7 linked regions of the Oryctolagus cuniculus genome follow. The protein of the gene in region 2 interacts with the protein of the main gene of each other region in a biochemical or structural test. Links are inferred from orthologs where the notes say so. Each region holds a gene or a part of one and is shown on either strand. Other genes may lie near its edges. The genes, in order: KAT5, PPARG, TRIM24, CDK5, RELA, NR0B1 and GRIP1.

Region 1 (4,180 bases), on a different chromosome or scaffold from region 2:
GCACGGCGGGTTAAGCCGTCTCCTGCAACACCCGGCTGCTCTGCTTCCACCCCAGCTCCCTGCTGTGGCCCGGGAAAGCAGCGCAAGATGGTTCAAGCGCTCGGGCCCCTGCACCCGTGCGGGGACCCGGATGGAGCCCCAGGCTCCTGGCCCAGCCCCGGCCTCGTGGTCATTTGGGGCGTGAACCAGCGGATGCCACGCTCTAACTTTGCTTTTCAAATAAACAAACCTTTCTTAACACCACGGGCTGAACAAGCTGCCGGCTGGGCAGGCCAGTGTGCCCCCGAGCAAGCAGCAGCCGCCCGCTGCCCGCGGCCACTGACCTTGTTCTTGCGCCCGTCGATCTCGAAGAAGGAGATGGTGCCCTTGCGGTAGATCTCGTTGCCAGGGGGGTGGCGTAGGTCGCACTTGGTCTGAGGAGGAGAGGAGGGTCAGGGGCGGGCGCTCCTGGACTCCGGGGGGGCGCGGGGGCGCTCCTGGACTCTGGGGGGCGGGGCGGGTGCTCCTGGACTCTGGGGGGCGCAGGGGCGGGCGCTCCTGGACTTTGGGGGGCGGGGCGGGTGCTCCTGGACTCTGGGGCGCAGGGCGGGCGCTCCTGGGCTCCGCCTACCAGGTGGCGCTGCAGGCACTTGAGGCTGCGGCCGTACTTGAGGCAGAACTCGCACAGGTAGAGGACCGGCAGCGCGGTGAGCTCCTGCGGGTACGGGGAGAAGTACCACGGCTTGAGGCGGTGCCGGCCCAGCTCGATGCACTCGATGTTCTTCATCCGAGTGACGATGTCGTCGTGGCTCCGGTCGGACACCAGGCTGCCAGTCATGCGCGGAGCCGACGGGATGCCATCGGAGCTGTCCTGGGAGTCCTGCCGGGGCCGGGGGAGACGGCACGTTACAGGAGCCACGCGCCGCCCGTCTGCGACCCCGGGGCAGCTGCTGTGACCCCACTTCTCAGAGACCAGGCCCAGCCCCCGCCCACCCGCCTCACGGCCCCTCCCCACCCAGCCCCCAGACCCACCTCGTCCGTGCCCAAGCAGTTTGACTTCCGCTTCCGCCCTGGCTGCGCTGCCACCGCCCTACGGGCTGACCCATTCTGTGAAGAGACGGCGGGAATGCGGGGGGCTGTGAGCTGAGCCGGAGACGCCGGCGGGGGCAGGGCAGGCAGGGCAGTGAGACGAGACGGCTCGGGCCTACCTGGGGGAACACGGAGGCCGGGGCCGTCTCGCTGGGCACGGGAGTCGCTGGCGACACCACCTCCACCTTCCGTTTCTGCAGAGGGAAACCGAGGCCGGTGGGTGAGAAGGTAGGGAAGGGGGACCTGAGAGGAAAGAAGGTCCCTGAAGTGCTGAGGGTACCGTGGAGCGGTGGCCGGGCTGCAGGCAGGAGCTGGAGGACAGCGGCGGGTCGGGCTCACCACCGGGAATGGCCTCCCGCTCCTTGGGCAGGTTGAAGCGGAGCGTGATCTGGACCGGGATTGGCAAGGTCTTCCCGCTGGCCTGGGCGGAGGCCGGCTGCAGAGATAGGTCCAGGGTCTTCCTCTGGGGTGGGGAGGCGCAGGGGACGAGGGGCCCCCTCGGCGTGGAGTGACTGAGCCCCGCCCGCTGCCTTCTCAAGGACTGGCCACTGGACCGGAAGCTACATCTGCAACCTGGCCCCATGCTTTGCAAGCTGGAGTCGGGGCGGGGGGTGCTGCCTCCTGCCCAGCCAGGAGCCCCCTAAGGCCGAGAGACGAGAAGAGTAGGAGGCAGGAGAGGTGGAGTGGGGCCCTACTCACCACCTCTCTCTCGGGAGATCCGGGGCGGGACCCAGGCAGTCCGTTCTTGGTCGGGGTCTTGGCCTCTTTCTTGGGGAACTGGATTTTCTTTAGGTCCAGCCGCTCGTGGGTCACCCATTCATCCAGGCGTTTGTTGACTGCAGCGGTGGGCATGGCTCAGGACGGAATGCCAGAGGCTGCCCCCGCCCCGCGCCCGCCCCGCAGCCCCACCTCAGCCAGGCCCAGGACTCACAGTCAATGTAATGGACGTAGAAGAGCTTCCGGCCACTAATGTCCTTCACGCTCAGGATCTCGGCCAGGGCTATGGGAACGGCACAGGCAGAGGCCTTAGACGGGCAGGGCCCCGAGACGCCACCCTCCTAGGACCCGAGCCCCACCCCTCGGCCGGATCCCCGCGCCCCAGCACTGCGCAGCTCGCGCCCAAGCCCCCTTCAGACACCAAGTGCAACCCACTCTCCAGGCCCCGCCCTGTCCAGGTCGGAACGGCTAGAAGCCACGCCCCTCCTTTGGAGCGCCAGCGCCCCGCCCGCACCAGCATTCTAGAAGCCCCGCCCCATTCGGCTGACTCCCTCCCGCCTCGTATTTCTTAGCCCCGCCCCCCGACGTCACTCACGCCACTCATCTTCGTTGTCCTGGTTCCGCCGCAGCACAGGTAGGCGGCAGCCCTCGATTATCTCCCCCTGGGGAGACAGCGCGGCGCCAGGGTCGGCTACTGTGGGGCCGCGGGCTCTACCCACCTCCCCTGGTTCCCTCCGCCCCGCCCCGGGCACCGGACTCACCACCTCCGCCATCTTCCCTCCCTCTACTGCCACTTCCGGCCCCTCTGGGAGACGTCACTTCCGGGATCGCGAACGCTGCAGACCCGGGCCCTCTGAGCCTGTTTAGTAAAGGACCCTTGAGGGACACCGCCGCCCGGCTGGAAGCGGGGAGCTAGCCCTTTTGGCCGGCGCGAAAATGGGGTGCTCGGAGCCTCGGGCCAGGTCTTGGGTGGAACCTCCACAACGTGCGCCGCGATTGGAGGAAAACTGAGTCCGTCACGTGACGCCCACCGGGTGCGACGCCGGTCACGTGGCTGCGGCGCGGGTCACGTGGGACTAGTGTTTGGGCTCGGACGGGCGGCCGCGTTCGGGAGTCTCCTAGTGGCGGCGGGAGGCGTCGCCCGGCGCCGGGTGCGCGTGCTGGGCGCGGGGCGGGCCTGAGGGCGGGCGGTGGGCGTGGCCAAGTTGGACAAGTGGGCGGGAGTAGCGGGACGGCTGCGGGGCCGAGTTCGAGGCGCGGGGGCGCGGGTGTCTAACCTCGTACCCCGAGTTCCTGGTTGAGAACCGGTGTGTGCGTTATTTTTGCGGCCTGTAGACGTGCGGTGAGTTCCCGCCGTGTGCCGGGCTCCACTGCCGGCCCTGGAGCGCGTGGGGGCGAGCGGACAGACCCCTCCCCTGGCGGAGCTCGCGTTCCTGGAAGTTGCGGGGAGGGGAGGGTTAATGGCCGCGGTTGCCTCTGTTTCAGGGCTAAGTGTTGGGGAACCCCGAAAACCCGAGCAGGGTGGTCAGGCGCGGGCGGTCGGGCTGGAGTAGCCGGGCAGCGCTGGCTGAAAGCTTAACTATTGGAAAGAAGGCTTGAAGGGACCCAGAGAAAGTTCCAGACGCACAGGCCGTCCCGCGGGGGCAGCCGCGCCGCGCTGCACGCGCTGGCCCGTGTCTGGTGGACAGGCAGACGGGTGTGGGCCTGGCGTGTCCCGCGGCCCGTGGGCCCCCACAGAACACCAGACGCCGGAGTGAGGGGCAGGGTTACTGTGGGGGGGGCCCTGGCGCGCAGAGCAGCGGCCTGTGGCGAACGGGTCCTCCGGGGCCGTGCGGAGGGAGGACGTGGCCGGCCAGGCCCCTCAGCGTGGGCTGGAGCTGACCCTGCGGCTGGGCCTTGGGAAGCCCGCGCTCGGCTGAGCCGGGCTGGGCTTAGGAAGACGGCGCCGTTTTACTACACCCCGCCTTGGTCTTTGTGAAGCTGCTAAGAAGGAAGAGAGAGAGGAAGAGGTCTGGAGACGAGGGAGGGCCACGTGTTCGCGAGCAGGTCCTGTTGGAACTCCGCCGGGCAGGCCGGGAAGCAGGGGCAGCGGCTCCCATGGGGACGCGCGGCGCTGACAGCGCGGCTGGGCCTTGGGGCCCCCTGGCTGCGGGGGCTGGGGCCGAGCATGGTGTCTGGACTGCGCCCTTGACCAGCACCCGTGCTGTTGATGTGTTAAAGCGGTTGGGGGGACAAAACAGTATTTCTTAACAGGAGAAGTTGTTTGAAGTTTAAATTTCATTGCCCATAAAGGATGTTTTTAAAGATTTATTTATTTGAAGGTTACAGAGGCAGAGAGAGAGTCTTCCATCCGCTGGTTCACTCCTTAATTGGCCACAATGGCCAGCGCTGGGCC
Region 2 (3,500 bases):
CTGCACTCCCGGGTCACAGCAGAGAGCTGGCCTAGAAGGGAGGCAACTGGGACAGAATCCGGCGCCCCGACCGGGACTAGAACCCGGTGTGCCGGCGCTGCAAGGTGGCGGATTAGCCTAGTGAGCCGAGGCGCCAGCCCAACTAAGGAATTTTTGAAAGGACTAATGAGTCACCAATTTTCAAACAATCTAGCTTGTCAGAAATGAAGTCAGGAACAGTAATGCTATTCTTTTCTACGATGTTGCTGAGGTTCACAGAGCCCAGAGTTATAACGACTGTGTCTTCTCTAGACCTTCCCCACGTAGAAAATAAGCATCTTGGAACGGCTGATTTCAGGGCTGCTCTTGGCTTCTGTGCTGGGAATAGAAACTGCCACAAACCTTATGCAGCTGGGCGATGAGATGACAAAGGGCGTAAGCCGGAGCATCGGGGCCCACATGGCAGGAGTCCACCTGGGCTGGACTCCTGACTCTGGCTCCTGACTGCAGCTTCCTGCTACTGTGCACCCCGGAGAGCAGCTGTGGTGGCACCAGTGGCTGGGTTCCTGCCACCCTCAGGAGAGACCAGACTGAGTTCCTGCCTGGGATTCAGCCTGGCTGCTGGGGCCTTTGGGGGATGAACCAGCAGGTGGGAGCACTCTCTCTTGTTCGGTCTCTTTCTCTCTGTATGTCTGTTTCCCTCTCTGTCTCTCAAATAAGTAAATAATTTTTAAAATAGGATAAAGATTGAGAAAGTAATGTTCATAGCCAGCAACCTTTGGTAACTTAGAAAGAGAAAATGATCTGAAGTGTGAATAGAAATTTACACATAAGAAGGTTCACTACAGCAAAATTTAGAACAAATTTTCAACAGCATTCTGTATTCTTCCCTGTAGTTTTTATTCTAAGTAACCCTAACATGTATAGGGAGATAATTTAGTCTGTAGTGGTCCCTTTGTAGGCTGGAATATTTTACAGTCATTAAGAATGGTATTTTAGAAAACATTATGTGTCTATATTTACACAACTGTACACAGGTAATATATAGAAACATTTTTAGAGGAGAACTAGGACTTTGTTCCATTTTATTCAGAGGACAGAGACCTTTGCTTTTTTGTATTCTCTGAATCAAATTTGATATTTATCTCTCAATGAACTTCAACTGAACCTCAACTCCCAATGAATTAATCAAAGATCCCAAAGGGTCAAGAGTTAATTTGCTTATGAAGTGATTCACTCAAGACATTAAAACATGATGGAAGGGATATTTTTGCCTTATTAATCATAATGTCAAAATGTCCCTTCACTTAGTAAGTCATGACTTGAAACTGGACTTGAGGCTTCAGATTTAATGTCTGTCAAACGGTTGCCTATCTGTACCCTAGACATTCAAAGGGTGGTATTGTGCACAGTGTTTAGTTAAGCACAGAGAACCAGGCAGATCATAAGCCTGGCTCCACATCTGGCTCACTGTGCAACCCTGGGCAAGGGAGTGAACATTTCAGTGCTTTGGTTTCCTGCCTGGGTTGTTTCGGGGATAAGCGAATGTGTGTGAAGCGCTCCGAACACGGCCTGCCCTACAGCAAGAACTCCATCAGCACATGCGGTTATTACTGCGAGTACAGTATGTCCCTGATTTCAGAAGCATCCAGTTCTCAACTGGACAACAAAGGACTACAGAGAGGATTATCCCTTTATGATACATAGCACAGTGACACACACTGACATCTATAAGACCACAGAGAACATGGCAGAGTACGCAGGAAAACCTTAGCTGGACCTGCTTGTTTAAAAACAGTTTTTAAGTAGAGAGATGAAAGTAAAATTTCTTCTATTCAACTTGAAAACATGGGAGGCTAATGAAAATAACACTTAGTTTGAAGGCTGGCTTCGAGGACTGGCTGATTAGATCATGTATTGGCAAGGCCAAGACTATACCACCATGGCTAAATAACTCAACTTTTCTCTGCTCTGTGTTTTTTGGTCCAGATTGTATTCTTAACCTCAGCCAACTACGTAACAAAGGTACTTTGAGGGAAGCCTGCGGAGGAATCCACATGAGCATACAGGACCATAGACAGACATACTGGTGAATTCCTTGATTCCTGGTATCAGGAAAGTGACTCAAAGTAACATAACTGGGGCAGGAGCATAATTGGGTTAAAAATATAGCGAGACCGGTGTTCATGCTTATGACGCCAGTGTCCCACATCAGAGTGCTTGTTCAAGTTCCCGCTGCTCCGCTTCGCATTCTCTACTGCTAATATCCCTGGGAAACAGCAGGAGATGCCCAGGGGTGTGGCCTCTCCCACCCACATGGAGTTTCTGGTTCCCGGCTTCGGCCTGGCCTACACCTGGCTGTTGCAACCATGTGGGGAGTGAACCAGCAGAGGTCTTCCATCCTCCCCTCTCTATCGCTCTGCCTATCACATAAATAAATAAATAAACCTTAAAAAGCAAATAAACCTTTATCAATACCTGTCTATGCCAAGTGAGCACCATCATTAGGTAAAGTCACACATGTCATTACTCAAATGAACTGAAGATCGCACTGGCCTTCTGGGAGGGAAGGTAAGAAAAAAGAAGAAAGAAAAAGGAGAAGTGGGCATTCGTCTTCTATGATTGGGTCTGACCAGAAAAAATACCGTGAGGGATAAAAAGACAGCCCAAGTTCTCCTAAAAGAACTAGCTCTTTTTATATGAGAAATGCTGTTAAGAACAGGGTAAAAAGGAACATGGACTATCACAGGAAATACAGCACTTCTAGTCGTCCCACACTCTTTCACGGAAAATTAAAAGATGGATCTTACCTCCACTGAGAATGATGACGGCTATGAATATTGCCAAGTCACTGTCATCTAACTCCAGTGCATTGAACTTCACAGCAAATTCAAACTTGGGCTCCATAAAGTCACCAAAGGGCTTTCGCAGACTCTTTAGGAACTCCCTCGTCATGAAGCCTTGTCCCTCCGATATGAGGACCCCGTCTTTATTCATCAAGGAGGCCAGCATGGTGTAGATGATCTCATGGACGCCGTACTTGAGCAGAGTCACCTGGTCGTTCAAGTCAAGGCTCACAAAGCCAGGGATGTTTTTGGCATACTCTGTGATCTCCTGCACGGCCTCCACGGAGCGGAACTGGCAGCCCTGAAAGATGCGGATGGCGACTTCTTTGCTCTGCTCCTGCAGGGGGGTGATGTGTTTGAACTTGATTTTATCTTCTCCCATCATTAAGGAATTCATGTCATAGATCACAAACGGCTGCAAATAAAAAAGGGGAAAGGTGGCTGAGTCAGACATCCTTAACTCCCAGCGAGTGCCATCCCAGTTCAGAAAGTGGCTCTAGACACTTCTGCTTAGCTCGGCAAAATCTTTGAAGCTGAAGACCGTTAGCCATGAGGAAGGACGCTTACTGTCTTACTAGTCATCGTGATCACGTCCTAGGCCCGAGGACATTCCACCGATTTTGATCTTCTTATCCTTTAATTAATACTGCAACTTTTACCTATGACTGGCGAAAA
Region 3 (3,500 bases), on a different chromosome or scaffold from region 2:
CCATAACAACCAGAAATTGAAAGAATGTGTCACCACTAGTCCAGCCTCAATAAAGACGCCTAAGGATGTGCTACCCACAGAAAAATGATCATCACTATGAAAGAAAGTGAAGGCAGCAAATCTGCAAGTACAAAGGAAATCAAAACTGAAAAATAGGAATATTTTTTGAAAAACTGGCAGGGTAAAGTCATTAGTTATCAATAGTCACCTTGAATGGCTTCAAATCTCCAGTTAAAAAAGATACCGACTGGCTGAATGGATTAAAAAACAAAAACCCTCTATTTGCTGCCTACAAGAAACACAGATCACCAACAAAGATAGTCACAGACTGTAAATGAAAGGATGGAAAAGATATTCCATAGTAACAGAAACCAAAAAAGAGCTGATGTAGCCATCATAAATATAAGACAAAATAGTTTAACACAAATACTGTTACAAGAAACAAAGAAGGGCACTATATTACGATTAAGGGGTCAATTCAACAGGAAGATGTCACTATTAGAAATGTATACGCACCTAATTACAGAGCACCTGGGTATTTAAAACAAATGTTAATGGAATGAAAGGAGACACAGACTCCCGTACAGCAGTAATCGGGACTTCACTACTCCACCTTCAGCCATGGACAGATCAACCAGACAGAAAGTCAGCAAGGAAACAGAGTTCATCGACACCATAGACCAAATGGACCTCACAGACACCCACAGGACGTTCCATCCTACAGCTGCAGAATCCACCTTCTCAGCAGTGCACGGAACTTTCTCTAGGACTGACCACATGCCAGGCCAAGAAGCAAGTCTCAGCAAATTCAAAAAAACTGAAATCCTACCATGCACCTTCTCTGACCACAATGAAATGTAGCGCAAATTAGACAACTCAGGAATCTCTAGAGCAAATGCAAACACATGGAGACTGAACAACATGCTCCTGAACGAACACTGGGTCATAGAAGAAATCAAAAGAGAAGTCAGAAAATTTCTGGAAACAAATGAAGACGACAACACAACATATCAAAACATATGGGATACAGCAGAAGCAGTGTTAAGAGTAAAGTTTATAACAGTTGATGCCTACATCAAGATATTGGAAAGGCACCAAATAAATGAGTTATCAATGTACCTCATAGACCAACAAAAACAGCAAAGCAATCAAAACAAAACAAAAAAAGACCTACAAAAGATCAGCAAAACGAAGAGCTGGTTTTCTGAAAAAATAAACCAAACTGACGACACCTTTGGCCCAACTAAGTGAAAAAAGTGAAGACCCAAATCAATAAAATTAGAGATGACAAATTTAACAACAGACACCACAGAAATAAAAAGAATCATCAGGAATTACTAGAAAGAGCTATATGCCAGAAAATGAGGAAACCTAGAAGAAATGGATAGGTTCCAGGGCTGGCGCCATGGCACAACAAGTTAGCCCTCCCCCTCTGGCATCAGCATCCCATATAGATACCGGTTCTAGTCCCGGCTGCTCCTCTTCTGATCCAGCTCTCTGCTATGGCCTGGGAAAGCAGTAGATGATGGCCCCAAGTACCTAGGCCTCTGCACTTGTGTGGGAGATCCAGAAGAAACTCCTGGCTTCAGATTAGCACAGCTCCAGCTGTTGTAGCCACTTGAGGAACCAGTGGATGGAAGACCTTTCTCTCTGTTTCTCCCTTTCACTATAAATCTACCTCTCAAATAAATGAATAAAATGGAAAAAAATTTTTTTGCCTTAAAAAAAAATCATCAGAAACTACTAAAAACAGTTGTATGTCAACAAATGGGGAAAACTAGAAGAAATGGATAGATTCCAGGAAACATGCAACATATCTAAATTGAGCCATGAAAATATAGAAAACCTAAACAAACCTAGAACCAAGACTTAAAATGAATCAGTAATAAAGACCCTCCCAACATAGAAAAGCCCAGGACTGGACGGTTTCATTGCTGAATTCTACCAAATATTTAAAGAACTAACTCCAATTCTTCTCAAGATATTCAAAACAACTGAAAGGAAGAGAATCCTCCTGAACACCTTCTACAAAACCAGCATCACCTAGGCCTGAAAATGACACAGCAGAGGAGAACTATAGACCGATTTTCCTGATGAACACAGACACAAAAATCCTCAACAGAATTCTAGCCAATCAAATCCAACAACAGGTCTGAAAGATCATTCACTAGGACCAAGTGGGATTTATCCCTGGTATACAGGAATGGTTCAACATTTGCAAATCAATGTAATACATCACATTAACAAATTTAAGAACAAAAACCATATGTTTATCTCAATAGATGCAGAAAAAAAGCACCTTTTCATGATAAAAACTTTAATCAAATCAAGTATAGAAGGAATATTCCTCATCACAATCATGGCAATTTATAACAACCCCATGGCCAGTGTACTATTGAATGGGGGAAAGTTGGAAGCATTCCCATAGATCTGGAACCAGACAAGGATGCCCACTCTCACCACTGCTATTCAATACAGTCCTGAAAGTTTTAGTCAAAGCCACTGGGCAAGAAAAAGAAACCAAAGGGGTACAAACTGGGGAAGAGGAAGTCAAACTATCCCTATTTGCAGATGACATGATTCTATATAGAGGGATCCAAAAGACTCCATCAAGAGACTTGGAACTCATAAGAGTTTGGTAAAGTAGCAGGACATAAAATCAATGCACAAAAATCAACAGCTTTTGTATATACAGACAATGCCACGGCTGAGAAAGAACTTCTTAGACCAATCCCATTCACAATAGCTACCAAAAAAAAAAAAAAAAAAAAAAAAATCAAATTCCTTAGGATAAATTTAACTGAGGTTGAATAATAGCTTACCTTGGGAAATTTGTCAGAGTGGGCACATGACAAGAGAGATGGAATACTTTGGGACACTTGTCACAGCATAAGAGTTCCCCTCCGTTCTGACAAACCGCGCACCAGTCCTCATTGGGATCATCTTCCTTCCTGGTCTCTCCAACATGAAGAGGGGACTTCTGGGATGCATCCAGCCAATCAGACTTCTCATTTGAGGAACTTTCCTGCTGAAGTCCAGGCTGATCTCCTGTGCTGTCAGGGGCTTCGGATCTCGGCACAGTCTCCTCGGAAGCAGAGCTCTGACCGCTGTGTAAGAGCAGGGAAGTGAGTATGCTTCTTGGATAGCTGGTCTGCAATAGGAAGAGGGAACAGTATGTGCATATGGATCTTTAATTGGTTTTTTTTTTTTTTTTTTTTTTTTGACAGGCAGAGTGGACAGTGAGAGAGAGAGACAGAGAGAAAGGTCTTCCTTTGCCGTTGGTTTACCCTCCAATGGCCGCCGCGGCCGGCGCGCTGCGGCCAGCGCACTGCGCTGATCCGAAGGCAGGAGCCAGGAGCCAGGTGCTTCTCCTGGTCTCCCATGGGGTGCAGGGCCCAAGTACCTGGGCCATCCTCCACTGCACTCCCTGGCCACAGCAGAGGGCTGGCCTGGAAGAGGGGCAACCGGGACAGAATCCGGCGCCCCAACCGGGACTAGAA
Region 4 (3,937 bases), on a different chromosome or scaffold from region 2:
CCAGCGGGCCCAGGGCTCAGGGCCCTGGGGGCAGCGAAAGGATATCGGAAGATCCTCTTCAGCTGGTCATCCACATCGTTGCCAGGGAAGAGGGGCCGGCCGGCATTGGCCAGCTCTGTGAGAGGGGCACAGCCGTGACGCACCGCGCACTCCTCACTCCGAGGCACCCCTGCACCTGCCATTCCCGGACCCGAGGGCCCTACTCCCTTCCCCGAGAGGGCACCCTCCAGACCCTGTTTGTCAACCCAGATTGGGGAGAAAGAGCAGAGCCGCCCCAGCACGTCACCTGCGAAGATGCAGCCGGCTGACCACATGTCGATGGACGTGGAGTACAGCTTGGCCCCAAAGAGGACATCCGGTGGGCGGTACCACAGCGTGACCACCTGGAGAAGACCCCACCCACAGGGACGCCCTCCCGTTTAGAGGGCTGGGACGGAGGGTGGAGAGGGGAGCTCAGAGAAGAGAGGGCACTGTCTCGGGTTGGTCATGGAGCAGGAGCTGAAAAACACCAGGGACTGCTCCCCTCAACTCCAAATCCCACCCCCCAGCTCACCTCAGCTGAGTAACAGCGGACAGGAATCCCAAAGGCTCGAGCCAAGCCGAAATCGGCCAATTTCAGTTCCCCATTCTGGGGGGAGACGGGAGGGAGGCACGGCACGGGGCTGTTAAACGTCTCAGGGCAGGCTCCTGCCCCCTGCCCTCCCCTTCTCCCCTGAGCAGTACCCTGTTTATGAGCAGGTTCTGGGGCTTTAGGTCTCTGTGCAGCACGTTGCGGCTGTGACAGAATCCCAGGCCTTTCAGCAGCTGGAAGAGGAATGACTAGAGAGGGGCAGAGGGGACAGAGTCAGACACCCTGGCTACGAGGTGATGCCAGCCATGGGCATGCTCCCTGCCTCACCCTCAGCTTTGTTCCATGTCCTACCCAATCCCCAGCACCAAGCTCAGGACAACACTATATGCACTCACTGCCGAGGGTTGGCTTTGCAGCCCGTACAGCAGGAAACAAGTGGCTCTGCTCCCTGCCCTTCCAGACCTTATAGCCCGATAGGCCTTCTGCCTTCCCAGCCCATGCCTCTCTCCCCTACCTGGCTGGACCTGAGTGTACAGTCTGTCACCATCAACATGGATATTGTGCTCTGGGATGGTTCAGGACCTGACTCCCCTGGAACCTGGGCCAAGGCACTTGGTCTCGGGCCTAGTACTCTCAGCAAATGTTTGTTGATTAAATGAGTGTAGCTCTTTGGGTGGAAATAGCCGTTGGCCTCAGAGTGTCACTATACAGGTCCAAGGAGGCCATGTGGAAATGCTGGCTAAGCCCGGAGGCCCCTGGAGGGCAGGAGCAGGTTTGCTCTTTCTCTGACACCCCCCCCCCAGAAAGTCCCTGATTTGTGCCTAAACAGGAGAGCTGACACTGCATACAGACCGGAACCCCAGCCCCGAAGAGCCCCCAGAACACCCTTCCCCTCACCTTCACAATCTCAGGATCGAGGTCACCATTGCAGCTGTCAAAATACTTCTTGAGGTCCTGTCAAGGGATGCAGCGGGGGAACAGGACAGAGGTGAACCTCCGTCTGGGCCCCACACCCTCCCAAGCCTGCTCCCTTTCAGCCCACCCCCATCCCCTTTCACCTGGTCACAGAACTCAAAAACCAAAGTCAGCTTCTTGTCACTATGCAGGACATCGTGAAGCCTACGGAGAAGCAAGGGCTGAGCCAGGCAGGTCTGCACGTCTGCACCACCCCAACCAGGCTGAAGCCCCCTCCTCCTCCACCTGCAGGGCCCCCTGCCCCCTCCACACCTGACAATGTTCTTGTGCTTCAGCTCCTTAAGCAGGCAGATCTCCCGGAGGGCTGAACTCGGCACACCCTGCACAGCGAGGGAGCAGCAGTCAGATCCCACTCACCCCAGGCCTCCTCATCTGCCACTCCCTGCCCTGGTGTCCCCGGTCCTACCTCGTCATCGTCATCCAGCCTCACGCGTTTCAGAGCCACGATTTCGTGAGTCTCTCGGTTTTTGGCCTTGAACACTGTTCCGTAAGTGCCTAAGGGGAGGAGGTCATAGATGAGGGGGAGGATGCGGCACCCTCCCCATCCCCAGGAAATGGGGAGGGGGAAGGGCACTTGAGTGTGTAAGGGAAAGGCTTCAGGGTGAGGGGCAGGCTTGCAAGAGCTTTGTAAGTGAGGACGCTGCAGGGTAGGGAAGGCCTAAAGGTTGAGGCTCCAGGGTCTGAGCCGGAGGCCAGGGTAAGGACAGCGCTAATAAGGGCGGCACTCCGGGAGGTCTGGCCATAGCAGGACTCTGGGAGAGAACTGAGGGCCTGCAGAAATGTCAAGGCTGAAGATCTGCTGGGGTCCGGGTGAGGATGTGCAAGTGGTGCTGAAGCTAGGCGTGGGAAACGCAGGACGTGCCGCGGCTGGGAGGTCGGCTCCACAGGGAGGCTAACGTTGGGAGTGGGAGTCCGCGGAGAATGCTAACACGGGCAGGGCTGGTGTCTGCACGGAGTGCTGAGCTTGGGGGCCAGGGCTGCAAGCCAGTGCTGAGGTCGGAGCCTGCAGGTACCGCAGACTACGGGAGAGCCTAGGCTGCAAGGAATCCCGAAGGGTCTGCAGAAGAAGATCTTGCAGGAACATCTCGTGGTTCTATTACCTTCCCCAATCTTCTCCAGCTTCTCGTATTTCTGCATCACGGCAGCCGCGGGGACCCCTGCGGGCCCTGGGTTCTAAGACTCCGGCCCCGGCGTTGCAGAGGAGGCGGCACCCCAGCCTCCGGCCCCGCCCCGCCTCCTGTCTGCGCATGGCCTTCTGGGGCTTGTAGTCCTAGGACGGCCAGGTTTCCCAGCGGTGTCCGGAGACTCGGGCAAGAGGACTACAGCCCCCAGCAGGCTGCGCTAAGGTCCTCTGCAGCACTCGACTCCCGGGACTCCGGTTCGACCGCGGAGGCAAACCCTGGACTCCAAGTCCCAGAAAGCATCACGCGTCCGCTCCTTGGGCGTCCCCACCGTGACGCCACGGTTCCCAGTGTGCCCCGCTCTTGTTACTCCTTTTCTGTGTGCCTTCTTGAAAAGGGTCGCTCTGGGACTACGCGTTCCAGAATGCGGCGGGGTGGGGGTAGGGCGCCCTCGGGTTGAGGTCTGGCGGCCCAGATCCGGGACCTAGTGGCTCAGCTCTGACCTGGTTGGTGATGATGAGTTCCGAGCGACCTCAGCGCGGGTTTCCACCTCGCCCCAGGCCTCCCAGTGACCTCAAGGTTGATTGGGGAATAGGAACGATGACCTCACAGGGACCAGCTGACCCCAGGGCTGGGTAGAGGCAGGTGTTTGCCATTTCTGGCTGGATTGGAAGGGTGACTTCTCCCTCTGCTGGACCTCATCTGTCGTCTCGGAGCCCATGATGAGGCGAGCCGGCTGGAGCCCTGGGAGTCCCCCCAGATCCCAGTCTTCCGAGCAGAGCCCACTGGAGGCAGTAAGGGTGTGGCCCACGAGGGCTGACAGGTTGGTTACCCCCTCTACAGACAAGACCACAGACAGATGCTACACTTACAGCAGCCTTTACCTCATCCCTTACGGCAGTTGATTATAGATTTTCCTGTGCTGCTCTCTAATTGTCTCATGATTGCATTCTTCCGGGCTGTGAACTGGACGAAAACAGCCCCAAATAGCACTCCGCAGCCAGGAACCAGAACTGGTGCTGACAATTTGTGGATTAATTCCTTTATATCAGAATGCTTTCGCATACACAATGCTGTGCTTCACCCACGTGGCAGACTAAAAAAACAAAAAAGTATATAATCCTTACCTAAACGCATTTTTAATTGAGAAAACAAGATGGCACACAAGTTCTTTAAAAGAACAGGACTCGATTCAGGGTGGGAGGTAGCAAGGACGAGGAGGGGGCCGCCGCGAGGCGTTTGTGTCCCTGAAAGTGACCGGTCCTAGGTC
Region 5 (3,944 bases), on a different chromosome or scaffold from region 2:
GCGAGCCACGCTGACCCGGGCAGTCTCCCGGGCCCCATCGTACCCACCTTGGCCACGCGCCCGTCCCTCCTGACCCTGCTTCCTGCCCCCAGGGTTCCCGCGCTGCTCTATTTTTATTCATCCTGCTCATTATTTAATTAAAAACTGCAACTGATGATGCCGCCCAGTCCCTCTGCAAGCTTCCCGGGCTGTCATCAGGGAATCGTCACCGCCCAGGACACCTCGCTCTCGTAATGTCCACTTCCCACAGTCCGTGGTGTAGGTGGGGGCATGCCACTCTCTCGCCACGTGATCCGGAAAACGCCCACTTCCTATCAGACCCCCGCCAGCCCCGAAGCCACACCCTCTAGAGCAAGGACGGCTCTGGGTCTGTCCCTGCCTGTCTGCAGCCAGCAGGGCTGGGCACGGGAGATGACACACGGATGCCGGACGACGGGCAGAAGCTCGCCGCAGCCCAGCCCACCAGCCTTCCTGCCGCCCAGGCCCACCCCGGCCCCTGCCCGTGACCCCCGAGCCACTCACGGTTGTCAAAGATGGGATGGGAGAGGACAGGCTGCAGGCGTAGGGGCCTGCCTGCTGGGTCCCGCACTGTCACCTGGAAGCAGAGCCTCACGGCGTTCAGGTCGTAGTCCCCACGCTGCTCTTCTATGGGCACTGTCACAACGGACGGGCGGACGGGCAGGTGTCACACGGGGCGGGGAGGGCCGGCCGCTCTGGCCTGGGGGCTGGCGAAGGGTGCCACAGCGCCGGACAAAGGCCTGCACTGGGACCCCGCAGTCCTGTCCCCTGCCGGGACGTGGTGTCCGGCTGCGGCGTCTTGGCCAGGAGGCCTGGGGTGGGGGCCGGGTGGGGGCGGAGGCTGGGGGGGCGGGGCGGCAGCTGGGGGGGACGGGGGCTGGGGGCGGGGGCGGAGGCCTGGGGCTGGGGCGGAGGCTGGGGGCGGGGGCGGAGGCTGGGGGCGGGGCGGGCAGCTGGGGGCGGGGGCGGGGGCGGGGCGGGCAGCTGGGGGGCCTCACCTTGGAAGGGGTTGTTGTTCGTCTGGATGCGCTGACTGATGGCCTGCTCCAGGTCGCGCTTCTTCACACACTGGATCCCCAGGTTCTGGAAGCTGAGCCCCTCCCCGTCAGAGCGCGGACCCTCCCGCGGTGCCCCGTCTGCACCTCCCCATCCGCCCCGGTCCTGGCTGCAGCGGCTGCAGCGGCTCCCCTGCGCTGCAACACCACCGCTCCTGTCGACGGCCTCCCGCCCTCAGGCCCTGACCTCGGCACCTCTCCCTTCGCCCCGGGATGCTTCCGGGCTTCTCCGATCAGCCTCACCATTCAAGGCCTAGCTGACAGAGGCCACCCCGGGCCTCCCGCCCCCAGGCCACGAGACCAGCACCCCTCCCTCGGCCGGGCTCTCTCCCAGCCTGGAAGTCACGGCTGACACCACGTGCACCGTTTATCTGCACGACCTACAGCCTGTCCGCGGGTGCGCGCTCGGGGGAACCGCAGGTTCGCTGGCAGCCACAGGGTCAGGGCCCCAGCCCGTCCCCCAGGAGTCCCACTCCCAGAAAGGAGGAGCGCAGGAGAGAGCAGTCCGCCCAGCGCGGCCCCGGGCGCTCACCTGTGGATGCAGCGGTCCGGGCAGAGCTCGGCCTCGTAGAAGCCGTCCCGGCAGTCTTTGCCGACCAGCTCGTGCGGGTGAGGCCGGTGAGGGGGGTCCTTGGTGACCAGGGAGATGCGCACCGTCCCGGGTCCCGTGTAGCCATTGATCTGTGCAAAGTACAGCGCGTGCTGGGGGCAGGGCCGGCTCGGCGGCCCCTCCCCCGCGCCCGGCCCGCCACAGGGGGAGCAGGACTGACCTTGATGGTGGGGTGGGTCTTGGTGGTGTCCGTGCTCCGCTCGCCGGGGATGCTGCCCGCCGAGCGGCCCTCGCACTTGTAGCGGAAGCGCATGCCCCGCTGCTTGGGCTGCTCGATGATCTCCACGAAGGGGCCCGAGGCCTGGGCTGGCTCTGCGGGGGCCGGGGGTCCCATCAGGGGCTGCCCCCAGCCCCCCAGCCCCCGGAGCCCCTCCCCGCCACCGAGCAGGGCCGGCCCACTTACCCGAGGGGAAGATGAGGGGGAACAGGTCTGAAAGGGGAGGAGGTAAGGGTCAGCACAAGCCCAGGTCCCCTCCACCCCCCGCCCCAGGGAAACTGAGTCAGGACCTGCTCCGTGGGGGGTACAGGAGCCAGAAACACCTGTTTCCTAAGGGCAAACGGGGTCTGGACCCCCGGCTGTGCTGAGGGAACCCGAGTCAGGGCCCGGCCCACTGTCCTCGGAGGAGCTGTGGGAGGGCGCCCCCCACCCCCCAGCCCCCACCCGAGAGGAAACTGACTCACACCCTCTCCCATAACAACTCCATCAGGGCTGCCCCAGAGGCCATGCGACGGACTCGCCTCAAAGCTCACCCCGCACCCCCACCCCGGGAGGGCCCCCGGTCAAGGCCCCCTCCACGCGGAGGGGAAACTGAGTCAGACCCCCGCCGCCCGCCCCGCCCCGCGCCACCGGCCGGCCGGACCGCTCCCTGGCGCAGCAGCGCCCGCGGCGCAGGAAGCGGCGGAAGGCGGCCCGGGGGTCCCGCCACAGCCCCCGCGGCCCCGGCGCGGCCTCCCCGCCGGCTCCCGGGGCGCCCTCACCGTCCATGGCCGGGGTCCCGGGGGCGGGGCCGGGGTCGCAGCTGGGCCCGCGGCGCGCGCTACAGGGGAGCCATTCGCCAGAGGCGGAAATGCGCCGCGCGCGCCCGTCGCCGCGTCACTGCCCGGAACCCGGCCGCGCCTGCGCGCTGTGCCTGTGCCGCCGCCGCCGCCGCCGCCCCGCGCGGGGGTCCGGGCAGGTGCGCGCCGCGCCGGGGCGAGCCCGCGGGGGCCGGGGGCAGACGCCGGCCGCTCCGGACACCGACGCTCACCCGCCCGCCCGCCCGGAGGCGGCTCCCGGGGCGGCTCCGCTCGCCCCCGCGTCCCAGCCCCGCCTGGAGGGCGGGCCTGCCGATTACTCACTTTGTTTTTAGGGGATTTCGGGGGCCCCCTCCCGCGGGTCGGAGGAGCTTGGTGATGTCACCCGGGCCGGGCTGGAGCGCGGCCAGAGCGGCTGGGCGGCGGCCGCCCGCCCCGCGCGCGGAGAGCCGGCGGCTTCACCCCGCACGCGTCTCGGCGCGGGGGGCGCGCGGGGTGCGGGGCGCGCCCGACGTCCCCGCCGGCCACTGCCCGCAGCGGGCGAGCCGGGCCCTCGGCCGCGCCAGCCCCGGCCCGCGGGCGGCCCATCGGAGACGAGTGCGGGAGGCGCCCGGATCGGCCCCGCAGCCTCCTCTCTGCACCCTGGCGCGCTCGCCTGCCCACGCCCGGGACCCCCAGGGGCCGCCCGAACCCGCAGGGTCCCGCCCCCCGCGAGAGTGCCCGGGGCCTCCCGCCGCGGCCCTGCGGGCGGGGGGCGGGCCTGGGGCTGGCACAGACCCTCTCCTGGGGTGAGGCTGCGCGCGGCTTCCCCAAAGCGGGGTGCGGGGGAGACTTTGTGTGTGTGTGTATCTTCTCCGAACTCGCACTAAATTAGGAAACCATGTGGGAATTGGAAAAGATTGGAAATTCTGACTTGCTTTCCCAGGCTCTGAAAAAACAGGAAGAGAAAAGTGAAAGAGAGCGAGCACCCCGCCCACCCGCCGGTGTCTCCGGCGCAGTCCGCTTCCCGGCCGCGGGGGCTGCGCGTGCGCCGTCCACTCCGAATAATCAGCGTTTTATTTCCTTGAAAGGCAGAGCGGCCTCCCGCCCCTGCATCACGGCCCAGACGCCGGCCAGCAGCCGGGGAGCTGCGCCAGCTGAGGCCAGGGGCGGGGGTCTCGGGCGGGGGTCTCAGACGGGCGCCGCCCGAGCGGCAGGGACCCCGAGTCTTGGCTGCTGCCCCGGCTGCCCGCCAGGGTCTGCCTTAG
Region 6 (2,694 bases), on a different chromosome or scaffold from region 2:
TGCAAGAGGTACCAGGAACCCATAGTGAAGTCACTTTACGATTTTCTGCCATGTTTGTTCAAAGTTACAGTCACATAGACAACACATCTAAAAGGTGAAAGGTAATTAGGGGTTTATAATTATATTGAGTTCTGGAACTATAACTCTTCCTTATAGAACGTAAACTTGATTTCAGTTCCATAATGGTGTATAGAAATATCCCAAAAGAAAACTAAAAATTCTCATATTTCATTTTTATGAGGCTCTCCAACCAACACTGCTTCTTGTCTCCTTTTGGGTACAAAGACAGTCTTCCATGTAACTGACAGGTGTGGAAATGAAGACAGAGCAAAGTCTTTTCCTAACAACACTGGCAGGCCATAACATCAAATGCCATGTTACTTAGAGAGGTATTTTTTGCTTATGTTGACTAGGTTTTAATAAGTTTTGAAGTCTTAGTTAAGCCCCCAATGAAACTTTTCAGTCATGTTAATGGTTAACACCTTAAAATTTATTAAAATGTAATATTACAAATTCAATTTGAGCAGGTACATTGGAGTCAGTGACTAAGCTTTTGGAAATAGCTGACTAGTGGAATACCCTGCTCTTCTCTTAAAGATGTACAGAAGTGTGTTACTTGTTGACAAACGTTTTCCTTCACAATGAAACATCATAGAACAGAGGCTTTGTTAATCATCTATAACTAAACTATTTCTTTAATTGAATACAAAAATACTATGCATGTAAAAATAATAAGAAAGTTTATTTCACAATATTTGACATTCTTCTATCCACACCTCTTACACGGTTAACTTGGCTTGTATGGGCTAAATGGCTTCATAACTTCGCACAAAGCATCTCCAGCATCATATCATCCATGCTGACTGTGCCAATGATGGGCCTGAAGAACAGTTCAGCAATGACATTGGCATTGATGAATCTCAGCAGGAAAAGAGCACTGTTCAGTTCAGCGAATCTGGCCTGGTGCCCTCGGTGCGTCATCCTGACGTGTTCAGTGAGTATCTGCTGAGTTCCCCACTGAAGTCCCTGAATGTACTTCACGCACTGCAGGCCTGGCAGGTCTGGAGGGAGAAAAATCTCCTTGTTAGAAATGGCTCATCACAAATCCTTTGCTAGATTTTTAAATCTATCCTTTCTGCCTCTTCCCAATTAAACAAAAGCTCAAGATTCCTGATTCAAGGGTTTTTGAGAGCACAGATAAAATACCAAACCAGTTGTAAGTTTCCAGAAACAACACTTCCAAGAATGAAACATTAAGGTGATTTTCCTTATTAAATATCCACAATGCTTGTATACACACATTTAAAAATGCTGGCTGTGAGCCAACAAGTGCACGCCTAATTTGACAGTCGAGTATACTTTAATGAATCATTGTGCCAGCTCACTTTTTATACAAATATGAAAAAAAATAATGCTATCTCAGGAGGAGAGCACTGGGCTTTATACCATGGAAAACAGTCCACTGTACAATAAGTTTTGCCATCTGCAAATATTTTACCATCCGTCCACAAATTTCCCACCATGATACTGATTATTCAACCAATAGTGGTAAACTCCCCGGCCACAAACTGTGACTCCTGGGTTTCACTGTATTATTTGCTGCAGATCAATATTAATCTAGAGGCCCAAAATAATTTAAAAACTAATGCTGGCTATTTAGTTCATTGTATCATGGTTTCTGTATTGGGGGGCTTATAAAAAGGGGAGGTGCTTCTAATGAGTGTTCCAAAAGGCTTTTTAAATATATATATATATATAAATAAAAGATTTTAGAAATAATTCTCCTCCAGTCTTGAGAGGGTTAAAAGTAAATACTAGAATATCACGGACCACAACACAGTTCAAACAGAACTTTTTTAATAGACAATGCATGACCTCTTTTCAGTCAAGTGGATACTTAAGTAAAGTGAATGAAAATGCAACCCTGGAAAGAAGGATATATATTAATATACTATTTTATTATATTGTATTATATATATTAATCCTTGTACAGAAGGTGGTAAGAGGAGTCTGTTTTTAAAAGCCCTATGATTCTCCATGACAGTAATATCGTTCCAAAGTTCTTTAATTTGTATTCAAGTAAGTAATAGTTTATCATTAGGATTAAATAATGCCAATTATGATTGCAATCACTTCCCTTCCCTTTTTCTACAAAGTTCAACAGAATAATATTTTATAAGTATTATGCTAATCATCACAGAGTAGCAGAACCAATCAGTGATCTCTAAAAACTAATGGTGACAGATATGAGGCACTCTTCTAACAGGCAAATATCTGATCAATAAAATAAGAGCAAAATAATGCAGCACGTCTAACCTATACCCTAATCAGATTACCCAGTCCACACATTAATGTCTCCTACTACCTACAGCTCAACATCCAGGCTTGAAACTCAATTATATTGTTTGAATCCCACTGATGAAAGGAAGAGGCTTGCATGAAACTCCACCAGAAACTCAAAGTTCCTCCAGGTCCAGAGTCATGGTTCATGAAAACTTCATCTGTGACCTCCACGTTACTTTTCTCTGCTATCACACCACACCCATCCATGCCCACACCCTCCAAAATTGCGGCTTTTTCTGCAAAAGAGTCTTACCTTTAAAGTAAAGAAATAGAAATGGCAGGTGGGCTCCACAGTTTCCTAATTCTCCTTATCTTTATGTTTAAACCCAGAGAGTTTGTAGGAATAGAATT
Region 7 (4,066 bases), on a different chromosome or scaffold from region 2:
ATTTACATTTCCCTGATTGCTAGTGATCTTGAACATTTTTTCAAGTGTCTGTTGGCCATTTGGATTTCCTCTTTTGAAAAATGTCTATTGAGGTCCTTGGCCCATCTCTTAAGTGGGTTGTTTTGATGTTGTGGAGTTTCTTGATTTCTTTATAGATTCTGGTTATCAACCCTTTATCTGTTGCATAGTTTGTAACATAATATGTTTATAATGAAAAAATTGGGAACTCTATTTACCTTTATGAGTAATTGTCAAGAATACCACTGATTGTGGAGTTAATAGCTCCAGAGGATATGGGGAAAAAGCAACTGCCTTTATCTGGCCTCTTGTTTGTGGATTCAAGAAAAATCAAAAATCAAAAACTCTAGTTTTAATGATCTGTGATTATTTTACTGTGTATGGGTGAAATGGTCATTTTTTCATTCAATTATTGCTTACAGCCATCATCTATATTCCCACTCACCTAGGGCCTTTTTGCTTTGTACTTATTAAACTTCTTATTTGGTGAAGTATTAATCTTTTTAACTGTAATGTAATTTTAAAATATGCTATCTCAAAAACTTTTTAAAAAAGGAAGAAGGTGGGAGGGAGATATGGGAGGGAGGAAGAAAGGGAATAATATTATGTTTTGGAATTGTATCTACAAAGCACATTGAATTTGTTAAATAAACATAAAAAACATACAAAATGAAAAACTCTACTATCAAACCTCAACAAAATAAAAAAACAACAAAATCCTTGTCATTGTAATACTGACAGTATTACAATGCTGCCTGTCCTTCAGTTGCATAGACATCATGGGCACTTAAACCACACTTTCATGCTCAGTCCCTGTATCATGCCTCCCCACTTGTCAAATAGTGTTCAACAGTCAAACCAGACGAGTTAGCATAAAGAAGCATGATTTTTCTCTTGTGTACAACTATGTTACTTTGTGAGTCCTCATTTAGCTCTATGTTTTTTTTTTCATTTAATAAACAGGAAGCTGTTACACCTCTTCTTACTCTGCATATATCAAGTATGGCATACAGTAATATGCTAAGTTGTTATTATAGTCTGACATCAATCAGTAAATATCACTGTACATTTGTAGTTTCCTAATATTCTCTTATGGACACTAACATATGGTCTTAAAACTATGTCTAACAAAAGAGTAGGCATTTTTATTGTTGGTGTTAGTATTTCTGATTCATCCAGTTTTGGTTTCATGATAAACTTGTTTCAGCTTTTACAAATGATATTCTTAAAATGAGAAATACTAAAATATTGGTGTGGCCCAATTTTATTTTTCTGTCACCTACATAATATGTAATTTTAAAATTATGGAACTCATAAATTCAATATCCTCATCTTATTGACAAGAAAACCAAAGCCCAGAGAGACTCTTCTTATACCCTGTCATTAGCAAAGTCGGATCCAGACCATGTCAGTCACCAGATCTCTATCACATTGTTATTTAATTGTGCTCCAAAGAACCCAAGAACCCTACGTCTGCAACAATTTACAGAATGTTTTCACATTCATCTAGTTCCAACAATGACCATGTGAAGTGATCATCATTATTATTTTACAAAGGGGTATCTTTGGCTTGCAGAATTTACATGACTTTTTTTTAACATTTTCAAACCCAGAAACCAGAGCTTTAGACTCCAAATCTGGAGTTTGCCTCTCTGAAATTACTGCAGCAACTTGTATTTTAAAATTAATTCTGTAATTTCTCTGTTCAAAAGAATCCATTGCTGAAAAAATTTTAGAAACATAAGATTTTATAACAACCTTATAAAGAGATTCATGAACTACTAGACAACTATTTTCTAAGAAAACATATCTTTTAGGACATATACCTCTTAAGACAACAGCTTTCTATACATAATTAAACATTGAACTCAGAATGATGAAAGCTTACCACTGTTTGACTTAGCAAGAAATTCAAGAGGGCTCTGATCCTGGTTAACCTTTGTATCATTAATATCAGAAGGTTCACAGCTTAAGTGAAAATCATCAATGTAAGCAGCTAGGGCTTCGGAGGCAGAGAAAAATGACTTTCCTTTATATTGGATGGAACCATCAGTATTAAAGGAGATGCTGTTCAGGATTAAAGTTGCTGGAAGATAAGGTTCAGAAGAGCTAAACTGGTGTTTCTTAACTGACTTTGCCATGGCTTTCTCAAAATGGGCAGCAATGTCCTTGCATCTTTCAAAAAACTCTAAACACAAAGAAAGGTATACAAGATTTCAGTTAAATAGAACTAGAGGACAATACTCTTGGCATCCTTGCTAGTCTTTCATCACATATAGCTACTTTTTATAAGTGAAACTACTCTATCCCCCTTAATGCTTTATGTATACTGGGCATTCAACAATGTTGATTGACAGTAAGTTTCATGGACATGGCTGCACGTATAAACTGTATTAGAGAACTCAGTATATGAGCCTTACTAGGTGGAAAATAAAAGAGATGTTGCTTATGTTTATTTTTGGTTTTATGCAATTGAATGAGTAGTTCTGGAATCTTGGGGTATTTTTATTTGCTACATTAAAACAAAGCAAGCCTTCAGAATCATTTTCATTTTCATTTTTGCACCTGTCTCCTTCCCACTGGTCAGACAGAGAAAATCATAAATGAAAACAAGAGGAGAACAATAATTGGCCCTGGCACAAGAGTGATGGCAAATAGAAACCAGGGAACAGGAAATTAATGCTGACAAGGAGGAGGGGTCCTCTGATCTTCCTACATTCTGGCTTTGCCCTAAGAGTTTAATAAAGGAGATCTTTTCATTACCACCTTACATCAATTACTGAGTCTTCCCCCAGATTATAAAAGGTTGTTACTAGGCTGGCGCCGCGGCTCACTAGGCTAATCCTCCGCCTAGCGGCGCCGGCACACCAGGTTCTAGTCCCGGTCGGGGCGCCGGATTCTGTCCCAGTTGCCCCTCTTCCAGGCCAGCCCTCTGCTGTGGCCAGGGAGTGCAGTGGAGGATGGCCCAGGTGCTTGGGCCCTGCACCCCATGGGAGACCAGGAGAAGCACCTGGCTCCTGGCTCCTGCCATCAGATCAGCGCGGTGCGCTGGCCTCAGCGCGCCGACTGCGGCGGCCATTGGAGGGTGAACCAACGGCAAAGGAAGACCTTTCTCTCTGTCTCTCTCTCTCACTGTCCACTCTGCCTGTCAAAAAAATTAAAAAAAAAAAAAAAAAAAAAAAAAAAAAAAAAAAAGGTTGTTACTATTAGCACCCTCAATTTCCAGATGAGAAAATAATGATACATGAAGATTAAGTAACTTGTCCAAAGTAGTAGAGTAGTTAAGCAGCAGCCATCGTTGAACCTCAAGAGGTTCTCAAGCTTGAACTTAAACTATCCATTGGTCCAAACTGACCACTGTCTTGTGTGCTGGAACAGCCCATATCATCTGTTCCCTAACTGCTTACCACAGTTAACATGCCAGCAATGAAGTTGGGTGCCCAAGTTCTCTAGTCTTTACCTTCTCTAAAATGCCTTAAGTTTCTATTGCTATTTGTGTGTGGAGGGGGTGCCAGTCATTTGATAACAATATTTACATAACTGTAAAGAGTAAGTACTCACTTTTTCAGTTCTTTGATATTCGAGTGGATACACTGTGTTTTCAGAATGTTATATTATGTGACCTCATAATACCTATATTTTCCATCCATGGGATATTTCTTGGTCTTTCCAATGTAATGGAGTTACACAGAAACCTTTGAGAATCAGGAGAAAATCAGGATTCATCTTCCCACAAAAATGCAATTTGGCTGGTAGATACAATGAATTCTAGGACTCCTGAGACTCATACATGTCCACCTTTGTATGAACCTTTGATGAAGAACTTTTGTCTAAAGGATGTGATAGAGGAGGGAATAAAGAGAAAAAAGGCCAACTAGGAAAAGAAGGATAAAAAGATATTAATTAGATTGAGACGAGCTAAACTGACATCATATGTTCTTGCAGCTACGATGATAAATACCTTCTTAGTAATTCAGGATCACAATCATCTTTCTTCCCTCTCTGTATCTAACAGTATGAATTGGTTACTATCACAGATGAAAGACAG

The links.
Region 1: the proteins of PPARG (region 2) and KAT5 form a complex in vitro, tested with the Homo sapiens proteins (2 studies listed by BioGRID, with this or other methods). The link is inferred for Oryctolagus cuniculus from reciprocal best matches to the Homo sapiens genes PPARG and KAT5.
Region 3: the proteins of PPARG (region 2) and TRIM24 interact in a test that uses a peptide from one of them, tested with the Homo sapiens proteins (2 studies listed by BioGRID). The link is inferred for Oryctolagus cuniculus from reciprocal best matches to the Homo sapiens genes PPARG and TRIM24.
Region 4: of the proteins of PPARG (region 2) and CDK5, one has a biochemical effect on the other in vitro, tested with the Homo sapiens proteins (3 studies listed by BioGRID, with this or other methods). The link is inferred for Oryctolagus cuniculus from reciprocal best matches to the Homo sapiens genes PPARG and CDK5.
Region 5: the proteins of PPARG (region 2) and RELA form a complex in vitro, tested with the Homo sapiens proteins (3 studies listed by BioGRID, with this or other methods). The link is inferred for Oryctolagus cuniculus from reciprocal best matches to the Homo sapiens genes PPARG and RELA.
Region 6: the proteins of PPARG (region 2) and NR0B1 form a complex in vitro, tested with the Homo sapiens proteins (2 studies listed by BioGRID, with this or other methods). The link is inferred for Oryctolagus cuniculus from reciprocal best matches to the Homo sapiens genes PPARG and NR0B1.
Region 7: the proteins of PPARG (region 2) and GRIP1 form a complex in vitro, tested with the Homo sapiens proteins (2 studies listed by BioGRID). The link is inferred for Oryctolagus cuniculus from reciprocal best matches to the Homo sapiens genes PPARG and GRIP1.

Annotation. Positions count from the first base shown.
Region 1 is NC_091432.1:6,003,904-6,008,083, forward strand, and holds the start of KAT5 (histone acetyltransferase KAT5), read right to left. Parts: upstream 2,801-4,180; 5' UTR 2,559-2,800; coding exon 2,547-2,558; coding exon of another isoform or gene 2,448-2,546; coding exon 2,381-2,447; intron 2,069-2,380; coding exon 2,000-2,068; intron 1,905-1,999; coding exon 1,768-1,904; intron 1,505-1,767; coding exon 1,349-1,504; intron 1,263-1,348; coding exon 1,188-1,262; intron 1,087-1,187; coding exon 1,012-1,086; intron 860-1,011; coding exon 611-859; intron 414-610; coding exon 324-413; intron 1-323. UniProt on the Homo sapiens protein: Catalytic subunit of the NuA4 histone acetyltransferase complex, a multiprotein complex involved in transcriptional activation of select genes principally by acetylation of nucleosomal histones H2A and H4.
Region 2 is NC_091441.1:114,828,119-114,831,618, forward strand, and holds part of PPARG (peroxisome proliferator-activated receptor gamma), read right to left. Parts: intron 3,241-3,500; coding exon 2,790-3,240; intron 1-2,789. UniProt on the Homo sapiens protein: Nuclear receptor that binds peroxisome proliferators such as hypolipidemic drugs and fatty acids.
Region 3 is NC_091434.1:185,289,937-185,293,436, forward strand, and holds part of TRIM24 (transcription intermediary factor 1-alpha), read right to left. Parts: intron 3,152-3,500; coding exon 2,823-3,151; intron 1-2,822. UniProt on the Homo sapiens protein: Transcriptional coactivator that interacts with numerous nuclear receptors and coactivators and modulates the transcription of target genes.
Region 4 is NC_091438.1:22,759,315-22,763,251, reverse strand, and holds the start of CDK5 (cyclin-dependent kinase 5), read right to left. Parts: upstream 2,801-3,937; 5' UTR 2,684-2,800; coding exon 2,647-2,683; intron 2,042-2,646; coding exon 1,953-2,041; intron 1,867-1,952; coding exon 1,799-1,866; intron 1,691-1,798; coding exon 1,630-1,690; intron 1,526-1,629; coding exon 1,469-1,525; intron 820-1,468; coding exon 724-819; intron 629-723; coding exon 554-628; intron 384-553; coding exon 287-383; intron 116-286; coding exon 46-115; intron 1-45. UniProt on the Homo sapiens protein: Proline-directed serine/threonine-protein kinase essential for neuronal cell cycle arrest and differentiation and may be involved in apoptotic cell death in neuronal diseases by triggering abortive cell cycle re-entry. Interacts with D1 and D3-type G1 cyclins.
Region 5 is NC_091432.1:6,038,492-6,042,435, reverse strand, and holds the start of RELA (transcription factor p65), read right to left. Parts: upstream 2,801-3,944; 5' UTR 2,669-2,800; coding exon 2,662-2,668; intron 2,114-2,661; coding exon 2,087-2,113; intron 1,996-2,086; coding exon 1,844-1,995; intron 1,755-1,843; coding exon 1,606-1,754; intron 1,109-1,605; coding exon 1,017-1,108; intron 655-1,016; coding exon 523-654; intron 1-522. UniProt on the Homo sapiens protein: NF-kappa-B is a pleiotropic transcription factor present in almost all cell types and is the endpoint of a series of signal transduction events that are initiated by a vast array of stimuli related to many biological processes such as inflammation, immunity, differentiation, cell growth, tumorigenesis and apoptosis.
Region 6 is NC_091453.1:16,770,244-16,772,937, forward strand, and holds the end of NR0B1 (nuclear receptor subfamily 0 group B member 1), read right to left. Parts: intron 1,062-2,694; coding exon 817-1,061; 3' UTR 501-816; downstream 1-500. UniProt on the Homo sapiens protein: Nuclear receptor that lacks a DNA-binding domain and acts as a corepressor that inhibits the transcriptional activity of other nuclear receptors through heterodimeric interactions.
Region 7 is NC_091442.1:68,865,628-68,869,693, forward strand, and holds the start of GRIP1 (glutamate receptor-interacting protein 1), read right to left. Parts: upstream 2,801-4,066; 5' UTR 2,160-2,800; coding exon 1,907-2,159; intron 1-1,906. UniProt on the Homo sapiens protein: May play a role as a localized scaffold for the assembly of a multiprotein signaling complex and as mediator of the trafficking of its binding partners at specific subcellular location in neurons.